Diceros bicornis minor: one gene and its partners. The protein of the gene in region 1 purifies or fractionates together with the protein of each later gene. This does not show direct contact. Links are inferred from orthologs where the notes say so. Each region holds a gene or a part of one and is shown on either strand. Other genes may lie near its edges.

Region 1 (3,742 bases):
CTCCGGTCCCACTAACTTTCCCTCCCTCTGCTCTAGCTCTCGTCACAATGAGGTCCTGCCTGTCTCCCATTCGAGGCCATGGGCTTCTCAAGGTAGGGACTCTGTCTTGAACGGTTCGGGGTCCCCAGGCCTTTGGGCACAGAGGGGCCATCAGTGTTGGTTAAAGAATAAGAATCACTCACACATGGCACCAACCACATGCCAGACCCTGCTCCAAGCACTTTATAGATGGAAGGTTCCATCACTCTCACCAGATTATGCTTCAGCCAGAGGGGAGACAGGTGGTCAGCCGCCTGCAGCGAAACTTCCTGGTGCTGGCTGGCGAAGGCAGGCCAGGTCTGGCAGTGCCAGCGACTGACCCATAGGGACATGCCCAGGTCACTCCCTTCCTACCTGGCCTGAAACAGCCAGAGAGAGGACTGTGGTATGCTCTGTCTCCAGAGCCCTGGGGGAAATGCTCATTCATTCATCAATGCTCAGTGCCCCACCAGGGACACAGTCCCTGTCCCCACCAAGCTAGTAGGCGAACACGGCCAACCCTCACCTCCCTCCTCCCAGGGGAAGTGGGCCAGGTGCCTCCTCTTTCCCTGTCTACACCTTGGCACACACACTGTCACTGCCCAGCTCCTTGTCTTCTCCCTGTCAGATCCCCGTGCCCTCCTCAGGACAGAGGCTAAGTCTGGGTCTCCCCTCCTCTGGCCCCAGCGCCCACACACAGCAGGCGCTCAATAAATGTTTCTTTAGCGGCTGAATGGGACAGGAGGGGAAGGGCCCCAGCCCCGCCGCCGCGCCTGGCAGCCCCGATGCCGGCTCGCCTCTCACCTGGGCCCGGCCGCCCGCCCCGGCCCCGGCCCGCCCGGCTCGACTTCCTCCCGCCGCCCCGCCCCTTCCACATTCCTGCCCCGCCGGCCTCCCCGCGCCGTCCCGTCGCTGCGCCGCAGCCGCCGGCGCCCGGCCCCGCGATGAAGGCGGCTCAGGCGGTGGGCGAGGAGGCGCCGCCCGGCGTGCGCTCGGTCAAGGTGGTCCTGGTGGGCGACGGCGGCTGCGGGAAGACGTCGCTGCTGATGGTCTTCGCCGAAGGGGCCTTCCCCGAGGTGAGTGCCAGCCCCGCCGGCGCGGCGCCCAGGGCCTGCGCGCATCCCCCATCCCCGCCCAGGCGCCCCAGTGCGCCCCGTCTGTGCGGGAGCTGCCGAGGACATGCGCCCGCGTGGCCTCCCTAGGGGTCTCCCAGCAGAGTGTGGGGTCAAAGGCAGTTCTCTCTCTGCCATGGGGGGTGGGGGGTGAAGGCCTCAATATCATGGGTCAAGTGGCAAGAATGGCACCAACCTGGGAGAGATGTCCCAGTGGCTGACTTAGGCAGCCTAGTACATAGCAGGTCTTAGGGGAGCACTTGGTGGCCCAGGGCGGCTAAGAGGGACTGAGGACTCGAGAGCCAGGTTGCCTGTGTTTGAATTGTGGCTTTGCCACTTACAGCTGTGTGCCCTTGGGCAGGTCCCCTACCCTCTCTGTGCCTGTTTCCTTAACTGCGTGATAGGAATAACGATGGCGCCTACCTACCAGGGTCACTGTGAAGAGTGAGTTAATATGGTCAAGGGCCCAGGTCCAAGCCTGCAAGAGGAAGGACTGGTGGCAAACATCTTTCTTGGGAAACATCATCTCTTCTCCCCCAGATCTTGCCCCTGTAACGGACATCCCATGGGCTCTGCCTTGGAGGGCAAGAGCACAGCAGACCCCAGTCAGACAGGTGGTTGGCACTTTGGCTCTCCTCTAACGAACTGTGTGGCCCTCAGAACCTTGCTTAGCCTCTCTGAGCCTCCGTTCCCTCACACAACCTCATGGGGTGGAGGACCCGAGGGTGGTGGTGAGATGGAATTAAGGTAAGGCTGAGAGACAACCCCACGTGGGACCTGGCAAGTCCTTGACGCTCTGGGCATATCACCTTCACTAGATGCTCCCTGACAGTCCACATGGACTCCCCAGGCGCCAGGACAGGGGCTGACCCACCCGCCATGCCACCTCCCAGCCCAGTTCTGGGAGTCCGTGGCATTGCTTCCAGCACCTTTTCTCCGTCCTGCCTGTCCCCACCTCCTCCAAACCCCTGGGGTTGTGCAGGCACTGGGGAGGCCAGTGGGGGAGGCAGGAGGGGCCAGGCCTGGTAACAGTGTCAGGCCTTTCTTTCCACTGTGGCAGCATCGAGCCGACTCTTGTTTTGTGGTTTATGGTGTTGACGTCACCTCCTCTGGCCAGTCACATTTTTTTAAGTTGGGGGGAGGCGTGTTTCTGGGCCCCCGGATGCTGCCTATGGGAACCCAACAATTATGGCACGGTGGGGAGAGTGCCATGGCGGAGCCGGCCAGCTGAGGCCCAGGAGAGGGGTTGGCGGGGGTGGCACCTCATCACCAGTGTCCTGGGCTCTGAGACTTCGTTGATGGTGAGACCCATCTGATTTCAGAGAGGTTACACTGTGGAAATGGGCATCTTGCAGTTTATAAGATGTGTGTGTTGAAGGACACACTGATGCTGGCCAGGGGAAGGGAGGGCATCCTTGTCACCGGGAGGATGGACCTGGCCTTGTCTAGGCTCCTCTCCTCTTTGGTGCCCCTGATTCCTTGAGACCTCTCTGCCTCCAGGCACAAGAGAGACCTCTTCACTTAAAAGAAACACAACGTCCGAGAGATGGAAAGACCTTTATTTTACTGATGGGAAAACTGAAGCCAGAGAGACAGAGTCTTACCTCGAGGAACTAGGCCCAGCAGTGGCAGGACAGGCCTAGAATGCAGGTCTCCCCACCCCTGACCAGGACACTCTCCGCATCGACCAGTACTCTGCCTGCTGGACCAGCCTTCTCCTGCTCCTGCCCCTGCACTCCTCCTCCTGGCAGCCCTCCAAGCCCAGGGAGCCAGCAGCTACGAGACTTGGGGTCCCATCTCCCAGGCCTCCTGCCTGAAGCAGAGATCAGAGAGCAGGCTGGGATTTGGAGGGGCCTCAGTGACGCTCATCTGGCTGTGGCCCAACCTGGGGTTCGGGGCAGGGGGAGCAGAGAAGAGAGAGCTGAGGCAGGGAGTGACTCCAGGCTGGGCGCCAGCCTCTGCCCAGTCCTGGCATTTGGGGCAGCAACCGTTCCCACGGGGCCGAAGCCCAGGGGCCCGCAGAAGGGTGGGTATCGGAGGGGGCAGGGAGCACCAGCCCTGCCTTCCAGAACCAGCTGAGTCCTTGCTGGTCCGCACAGGGACTCCCATGGGATTGCTGCCGGGGGAAACCCCTGACCCTCCTCTCTTGAGCTGTGTCTCCCGTCCTGCTATGATCCATCCATCTGTCTGTGAGCCCCCAGGAGGGCAGACCCACGCCTCAGTCATCTCTGCCCTGGTCTCCCTCAGGCCCGTCCCTGCTTTTCCAGCCGAGGTCGGCTCAACAGATAAGATTAGGCGCTTATTTGTTCCATAGGCAGAAAGTGACCTGCCTGGGGGGTCAAAGAACACGAGAGACGGTATAGACAGAGTCTCCAGGATGACATTCCAGGGGAGGGGGAAAGGTTGTGACAGTTACAAGCTAGAGGAGCAACCCAGCCCCACAGCCGGGAATGGGCCTTCTCTGCCCACTCCTGGCACCAGAAGCTAGAGTTGATGACCTCAGGAGAGGCAGGTGGCTGGGACAGAGCCTGGCCTCTGGAGCCACAAAGTCCGGGCTCCGTCCTTAGCCAGCTGTCCAGTGTGTCAGTTCCCCGCTCTGTTCTCCTCAGGAA
Region 2 (3,742 bases), on another chromosome or scaffold:
GGGTCCCCTGTGGTGGGGGCTTGGGTGGGCTGTGTTGTGGACGCAGCTCAGGGCTGAAGGGGGAAGGTCTGGCCTGGCTGGTGCGAGTGGGAGGTCAGCGAGATGCTGAGAGCCAGTGAGTGCCATCCTGTGGATGCCCCAGTGGCTTCATCTGGCCAGGCGTTCTTGAGCACTTGCAGGAGGACACAGGAGGAAGTGGACTGTCTGCAAGGAGGCCACAAGTCTGGGTGAGGGTGGGTCCCCAAAGAGCACAGGGGCATCCCAGTGTGGGGGTGCAGGTTAGGGTTTGGGGGATGGTCCCTAGCTGATGCTCACCACACCCCATCCTGTGACTGGAGACCTCCTATGTCGGGCAGCGGGAGAGAGCACACAGAAGAGCTGGCCTCACGAGGGTCCCCACCTTCTCTCAAGTTCAGGGGGCCTCAGGGGCATCAGGACCAGGGCAGACGGGCTGGAGTGACCAGAAGTGGAGTGAGCTGAAGTCCAAAGACAGAACTCCCAGGGAGAGGCTCCCTCTCACCACCTACCTCCAGGCACCCAGACACCGGCTGATAGGTCCTGGGTGCAGGTCCCCAGCGGCCCACTGGGGGTAGGGGGAGGAGAAGGGAAGGCAGCTGCGGGCCAAGGATGGGTTGTGAGGGGACTCTTGGCAGGCGCCCCCTTCCCTTAGGAGGTTGGGGGACTGAGCCTCCTGGAAAAGGGTCAAGGCCCAGCAGCCCCCCACCCCCAGAAAGGGCAAAGGTGTAGGCAGCCAGTTCCCAGTCCCAGAGTGGGGGTGCTGGTGCCCCACGCGCCTCAGAACCACGAGGGCAGGGTGCTCTCCCCAACTGCGGAGTGCTGAGGCCTGGGCCTCCCTGTGCCCCGGGACGCTCCGGGGATGGTGCCCAGGCCGAGGGGCACTCGCTGCATGGTGTAAACCTGGGACCGAACCGGGCCGAACCTCCCCAGCAACGCGGCAGGCCCACTGTGGCAGTGCCGGCCCGCCACACCCCTCCCCTCCCCCCCTCCCCTCCCCCCCCTCCCCTCCCCTCCCCCCTCCCCTCCCCCCCCTCCCCTCCCCTCCCCTCCTCCCCTCCTCCCCTCCCCTCCCCTCCCCTGTCCCCGCCCCCCTCCCCCCCGTCGGGGGCGGGGCCGCTGCTCCCGCGCTCCGGCCCCTCCTTGGCCACACAAAGGCCGGTCTCCATGGCAGCCGCGAGGGCCGCAGCGCAGCGCCGATCGCGGCCCGGGCGCCATCGAGCCTCGGCGGTGGACGTGCAGGTACGGAGACTGGGTTCGGGGCCCGCGGGGTGGCTGCGCCGGTCGGGGGTCTTCGCCGTTAGCGCCGCTGCGCCTGGCTGGCGCGTTCTGGGCGCGAGGACCCGGGGCGGCTGCGGCCCCGCGGAGCGCGACTCGGGCCTCGGCCGCCGTCCTGTGTCCCTCGGGCTGGGCCAGGCCGCTCCCGCCGCGCGCCCTCCCAGGGCGGGCGAGGCCTTCGGGGTGGGGGGTTGGGGGGGCGGGCCTGGCCGGGCCGAGGGTCCCCAGCCGGGCGCCGCGCCCTCTCCCGCCGCCCGCGTCCCTTTGGAGCCGCTCGACTCCTTCTGGCTCCTGACCACCCCTCCCCGCCCATGCCCCCCACCTCTGCAGCCACCGAGACCCCGTGCACTGGGCGGAGATCGTCCCTGTCGTGCAAGAGCTCCAGGCCCCCACCCCCCCACCCACCGGGCCGCGGTTCCGGGGTGGCTGAGCCCGGGCTTTCCCCGGGGGGCTGGACCCGCGGTCAGGCCTTGGCAGCCCCCACACCCTCTGGGACTCCTTGTGAGGAGGGCGTGGGCGGAGACCGTCCTGTGAACCCCCTGGTCTTCGCCTGACCAGGCTGTAAGGCGGGTGCAGGTTCCGGGTTTCGGGGGGGGGGGGGACTAGGGGCGCCTCAGACCCTGGTAAGTCCTGGGGGCCTGCCTGGAAGTTCCTGGTGTGGTTTGTTGGTGTGGTGTTTGGGAGAACACCGTGGGACCCAGGAAGCCTCAGAACTGGGGAGGGGAGCCGTGTATTCAGAGCCTGAGCCCTGCCCCTCACCCTCTGGCCTGCACTTCTGCATGCCTCCTCCTGCAGGAAGCTCTCCTGGATGGGCACTTCCCACCATTCTGTGCTCAGGCGGCTTGGCAGATTTGAGGGGTCCCTGAGCCCAAGAGCCCCCGAGCTTCCTGCCATGTCATGTGCTTTTCTTCCCAGCAACTTGGAAAAGGAAGGAAGGATTCTATCTGTGCCTACCATGGCCTGTGTGGGGTCAGAACGGGGGTGAAGCTGGGCCCCAAAGCTCATGGAATGTTCTGGGGTGTGGAGAGCTCCCTGGGCCTGTGCCTACCCTGGGGCACTCCCCCTTTCATGTCTGATTTCAGCCCCGGTGCTCCCTCCCTCCTGGGGCTGGGCCCTCTGGAGGGAGGGGGAACATGGCTGCCCAGAGATGGAGGATCTCAGCCTGACCCCATGCCCAGATGTTACCCTGGCGTGGAGGAGAGATTCCATCTGAGAGTTGGACGGAGGAGACTGGACATCCCTCCTCTGCCCTGAGGTGAAGGTCCCTGGGAGGGCAGGGTCAGCACGGGCCTGGCTGGGTCTGCTGGGTATTTTTTGTGGTGTGTCAGCTTCCCACAGATGACTGAAGACCAGCAGGTGGGCTAGGCAGATCTGAGCCTCCCACGTCCTCCTCCCATACCTACTGGGGGCTCACCTCGGTCTGAGGGGTCAGGGGAGGCCTGAGGTCTGGCCAGGAGTTCCTTGTCCCAGGAGGGGAGGGAAGTCACTGAGAAAAACAAGGGTTTGGAATGTGGTCCCTCTTCTCCCGCCGGCTGCCTGCCAAGGAGGAGTTATTTTGGATTATCCAGCCGCGTCCAGCCACCCGAGGGGGGAGGTGCAGTCGTGGGAGAGCAATCCACTTCCGGGGCCGTGGGTTGGGAGCCCCAGGAGGGAGGGAAGGGCAAGTCTGGGCAGCTCCACCACCTCCCAAGGCTGAGGCTGCTTAGACCAGTCCGGGGTGGGGTGGGAGAGGATGCGTCACCCTTGGGTTGGAGCGGGTTGGAGAATGCTCGAGGTCCAGGAGCGAGCCTGGAATGGGCCCAGGCCCTTCTGGCGGAGGCACAGGGCAGGAGGAGCCCTGGATCCTGTCCTCGGGGCCCGGGGGAGGGGCCCAGCTGTGGGACCCCTTTCAACCCTAGAGGCCTTAGCACTATGGCCTCGAGGCCCTCTGGGGCGCCTCTCCAGAGCCAGGTTTGGGGACACACCTTGGGCCTGAACAGGTAGAAGCATGACTTAGGCTGTTTAGTGTGGGGCACTGGGGTCTCACTCCAGCTGAACCTCAAGCCACCCTCCTTCCCTCAACTGACGCAGTGAGCAGCACTGACTGATGCGCAGCCTCCCTCCAACACCCCCCCGCCCCCAGCCAGCCTTCACCTCCACACCCCCCTACTTGAATGTGGCACCTGTCAGTCCTTCCCACAGGTGAGGGGTCCCACAGATGAGACCAAGGCCAGGGATGGGTCCCTGCAAGGAGCCGTGTGGGACACTCCCTCTGCCGTGTGGGCTTCCCTGGGTCCATGCCTGCATGTGCCCGAGGCCATGCTCCCAGCAGCCCCTGCAGGGACCACATTGGGAGGCAGAGCTGGCAGCTGGGGCAGAGTGCAGGAAGCCCAGGGGCCTGGCACCAGCCCAGGCGAGTGGAGCAGAAGAGATTGGATTGGAAGGCACTGGGGTGGGCTGGCAGCCTGGG
Region 3 (3,742 bases), on another chromosome or scaffold:
ACTTAATGCAATTAAGTTACACACAACTGCATTCATAGAGAATCTATAAAAAGGCAAAACCTAAACAATTAATTCTTAATAAACAGAAGTCCAGATACTGGGATAACAGTAGTGTTAGAAAGAACATTATAAATAGTAATATGGCTGCCTTGCCCACTTTGAAGGATCGCCATGAAGAGCCAGACTATTTTGCTATATACATACAAGTGAGACTCAGAGATATTAACCCAATGGCACAGTGTCAGAAGCTGGGTTTAAACTCTCATCTTCAGATTTCTTCGAGAAAAATAAAAGACACTGAACAAATCCTTCTTCGAGTCACAGGACTTTTATACCTAGTCAACCTTAGGAAACCCTCTCTACTTCTCCCCACATCACCAAAGACCAAGGTTCCCCAGAGGTAAAGGGTTAACCCCAGAGGGCAGTAGCCAGTAATGACAGGGCCAGAGCAGGACCCAGCCTCCCACATCCCAGCCCAGCGGGCTTCAATCTCAAGGACCGGCATCCTCTAGGCAGGCTTTCAGATTCTCTGAAAACCACAAGGGACGGCTGTGACTTCCAGAATTCAATTTCAGTTATTACTTGTCCCTAAAAACTCCCCAGGACTTGCACCGAGGGCAAACTGAGGACCTTTACTGACGGCCCAGGAGCTCTCTTCCTCCAGAACAGAGGAGAGCTCCCTCCTTGAGAAAGCGGCCTCCAACCGGGTGATAGACGTTATTAGGAAAATGATGCAGCTAGCCCGAAGGGGGAAGATCTTTCAACCGTAATTTTCGCAGTTTGCCTCAGGAAAAAGGCTCCAAACAATTATTTCTGGGGAGGGAGGTGGGGAGACGAGCTACGGGCACGCGAGAGGGAAAGGGGTCTAAGAACTGTGTCCAAGCTGTTTACAAGAGAATGGAGAGAACCTCGGGGCTGTGAAACGAGTAAGAAGGAAAGAGCAGCTGGGCCCAGGGCGAGCACTTGACCACACCCACTGGCCACGCCCACCCAGCTGCCCTCAGAGCCACATCGAATCGAAACAGCAGTGGGAGCAGTTAAGATTCCGACGGCAGGAGTCGCCATGGCAACGGGATTCATCTTGCAGACAAACTCCAATTCACTAGGTCCTTCTCGAGCCTCAAGAAACTACCAGCTCAATGGGAGCAAAACGGTCACGGGTGGCATTTGCTCTTGATGCTCTCCTGCGGGCAGAGATGGGGGGCTGGGAGATGCAGTGTAGGTATCCATTCCTGCGCACCCTAAAATATTTTATGGGGCAAGAGACAGAACATCCAACCTCAGGCTGTGAGCAACTTGAGAACCGAGCCACGAGCAGGGTTTGATGAATGAGTGAGTAAGCGAAAGAATACGGTGCTAGGGACAGTGAAAGGAAATCCAGAGGATTTTACAATAGTGTTCTCGCGCGTCACGCACGTCTCCAGTCCGAGAGCAAGGGGATCACAAGCAGCTGGGTTTTCGGCACCAGCTGGGAAAACCCGATTACCTAGCCCTCCTGCCCCAGAGCGCTCCTTATCATTAGATTATTTGACATCCCGCACCGCCTTACCCCCTCCCAGCCCAGGGCTCAGGGCAGACGCTTAGCCCCAGTTCAGGTGCTCTTTGTTGAGGGAGCAATCAGTGCAAGGGGGACCGAGATGCGCCCTCCCCAGAGGGACGGGAGGCGGGAGCACTCTGCTGCGCCTCGAACCCGGGCCGCAGCCTCCCCGCGCCGCCGTCTGCCAACACCCCTTGCTCCTTCCGCAGCGCGGGTTTCCCTCCTCTTTTAGACCTTTAGCGTCCAACTTTGCCTGAATTATAGTCACCCCATTTCTTTCGAGTGAGGCTTGAAGTGAGGGTGCCAAGGACGGTGGGGGGTCCCGCTCCGACGCGGACGGGTAAACGAGTCCCTCCTTCCTCGTCGCCACCTCCGAGTGCACGATTCTCCCTCTCGGAGCCTCCCGGGCCAGCGGCTCCCGACAGCAAAAGTACCCATAATTCCCCAGCCGAGGCCACGACCCCCAGCGCCCCAGCCCCGGGGTATCTGCAGCAAGGTGGCGAGTGGTACCCTGCCGGCTCTCTTGGCATCCAAGCGCCTCAGAAAGAAAGGAGGGAGGGACGCCCGTCCTTGGAGGCGCCTTCCCCCAAGCTCGCCTTGCTTTGCGCGGTGCTTGCAGCCATTTTCCCAAACCCAGCTTGGCAGCCGGGAGCTAGGTCCCGTTCCCACCCAGACGCAACCTGAAGGACGGGTTTAATATTTACCTACTGGCCCGGGAGCTCTGGGCAGGCAGCGAGAGGGCGCGCCGGGAACCCAGCGCCCGGGCCGAAGAAGCGCGCCCACCCCCGCGCCACCGCGCGGTACCACTCAATGAATGAGTGCGTCGGGCCAGGCGGCGCGCCCCCTTACCTGAGCAGCCCCCGCATGCTGGAAAGGCGGCTCCGCGCTCCGGGTACAATGGGATCCGGTTAAATAGTTTCCTTCACAGCTGCTCGTAGGTTACCAACTCGCAGGTGACATCACCCTCTCCTAGCCTGATAGGATACAATGTGGCGCCCATTGCGCATGGACTCCCTGGCTGGGCCCGCAGACTCCTGGGAGCTGTAGTCCCGATCCCTCAAGCAGAGCCGGAGTAGCCCCGCTACTGCGGTTCGCGAAACTACCCTTCCCGACGTAATCATCGGCCTCTTCGTCCCCGCCCCCTAGCCCCGCCCCCGCCGGGACCCGCCCCTCCCCGCCCTCCAGCCTTGCAGCGTTAGCGGTGGTCGTGCAGAAGCGTGCCGACAGCGCTGGGAGGGGTAGTGAGCTCTGCGGTCGTGCCCTTTGACTTGACCTCCACTCCGCCCGGTGCTTGCTCTGAGGGCCCCAAGGGGTCCAGGGCTAGTGCGCACCGGCCCGGCAATTCTGACCAACCCGGCTCTTTGGCCCCAGCTGGAAAGAGAAGATGAAGCCTTTCACTACCTTCACTACGAGTGGTAGCAAATTAATAGGACGCGCTGGTTTCTGGGTTAAACGCGGTCTGGAATTCCCCCGCGTCCCCGAGGGTGAGGCGACGCCGATCCCGAAGGAGAGAAATCCTCGTGTGCCTCCCTTGATACAAATCACCTTTCTTTTCCTCTTTCCTTCTCCCAGTTAAGGGAGTCCGGGTGACCAACCAGAGCGCAGGGAACGGCTTAGTTGGCTCAGCTGACAGAATAACGGAGGCTGTCACTAATAAAAATGCGGTGCAGTAGACTGACATCGCCGCAGCCCTCCGTCCGGGAGCCTGCTGCTGCTGCAGAGATAGTACTATCGCGCGGCCATGCTTTTGTTCTTCCTTGCAGCGGACTTCCCGCTCCAATGGCTCTCAACTCCCGGGAAGACAACATCCTTGTCTAAAGTTTTAATAAATGACATACATATGTATACATGTACTTTTAAATCCACAACACCCTCCCCTCATTTTCCATACCTTTCTCTTCAAATATTTTTAAATGACCTAAACCACTCAACATCCTGCTGTTCAAGAATCGACGTGATCTTAATACATCTAAATGTTTATTTAAAGGTAAGCAAAAGGTGTGTAGTAGAATTGTAAACTTTAGGAAGATTTTATTTTTAATATGTAAAATTTTTCCGTGGCATTTTTCGTTATTCAATAAATACCAAATATTATGAAAAATTAACATGGAGAGCAAATCTCCAGGTCTTTTTAAAAGAAAAACATCAATACACCTAGTTACTCCAGTTGGAAAATAAATTATAAAGGCATTTGATGTCTCAAAC

What was found.
Region 2: the proteins of RHOD (region 1) and PLXNB2 purify together in Homo sapiens (affinity purification with mass spectrometry; 3 studies listed by BioGRID and IntAct, counting the BioPlex papers as one, with this or other methods). This does not show direct contact. The link is inferred for Diceros bicornis minor from reciprocal best matches to the Homo sapiens genes RHOD and PLXNB2.
Region 3: the proteins of RHOD (region 1) and DAAM1 purify together in Homo sapiens (affinity purification with mass spectrometry; 3 studies listed by BioGRID and IntAct, counting the BioPlex papers as one, with this or other methods). This does not show direct contact. The link is inferred for Diceros bicornis minor from reciprocal best matches to the Homo sapiens genes RHOD and DAAM1.

The regions. Positions count from the first base shown.
Region 1 is NC_080770.1:6,376,521-6,380,262, reverse strand, and holds the start of RHOD (rho-related GTP-binding protein RhoD), read left to right. Parts: upstream 1-954; 5' UTR 955-962; coding exon 963-1,094; intron 1,095-3,742. UniProt on the Homo sapiens protein: Involved in endosome dynamics. May coordinate membrane transport with the function of the cytoskeleton. Involved in the internalization and trafficking of activated tyrosine kinase receptors such as PDGFRB.
Region 2 is NC_080764.1:502,927-506,668, forward strand, and holds the start of PLXNB2 (plexin-B2), read left to right. Parts: upstream 1-1,182; 5' UTR 1,183-1,257; intron 1,258-3,742.
Region 3 is NC_080763.1:8,996,048-8,999,789, reverse strand, and holds the start of DAAM1 (disheveled-associated activator of morphogenesis 1), read right to left. Parts: upstream 2,495-3,742; 5' UTR 2,387-2,494; intron 2,302-2,386; exon of another isoform or gene 2,242-2,301; intron 1-2,241. UniProt on the Homo sapiens protein: Binds to disheveled (Dvl) and Rho, and mediates Wnt-induced Dvl-Rho complex formation. May play a role as a scaffolding protein to recruit Rho-GDP and Rho-GEF, thereby enhancing Rho-GTP formation. Can direct nucleation and elongation of new actin filaments.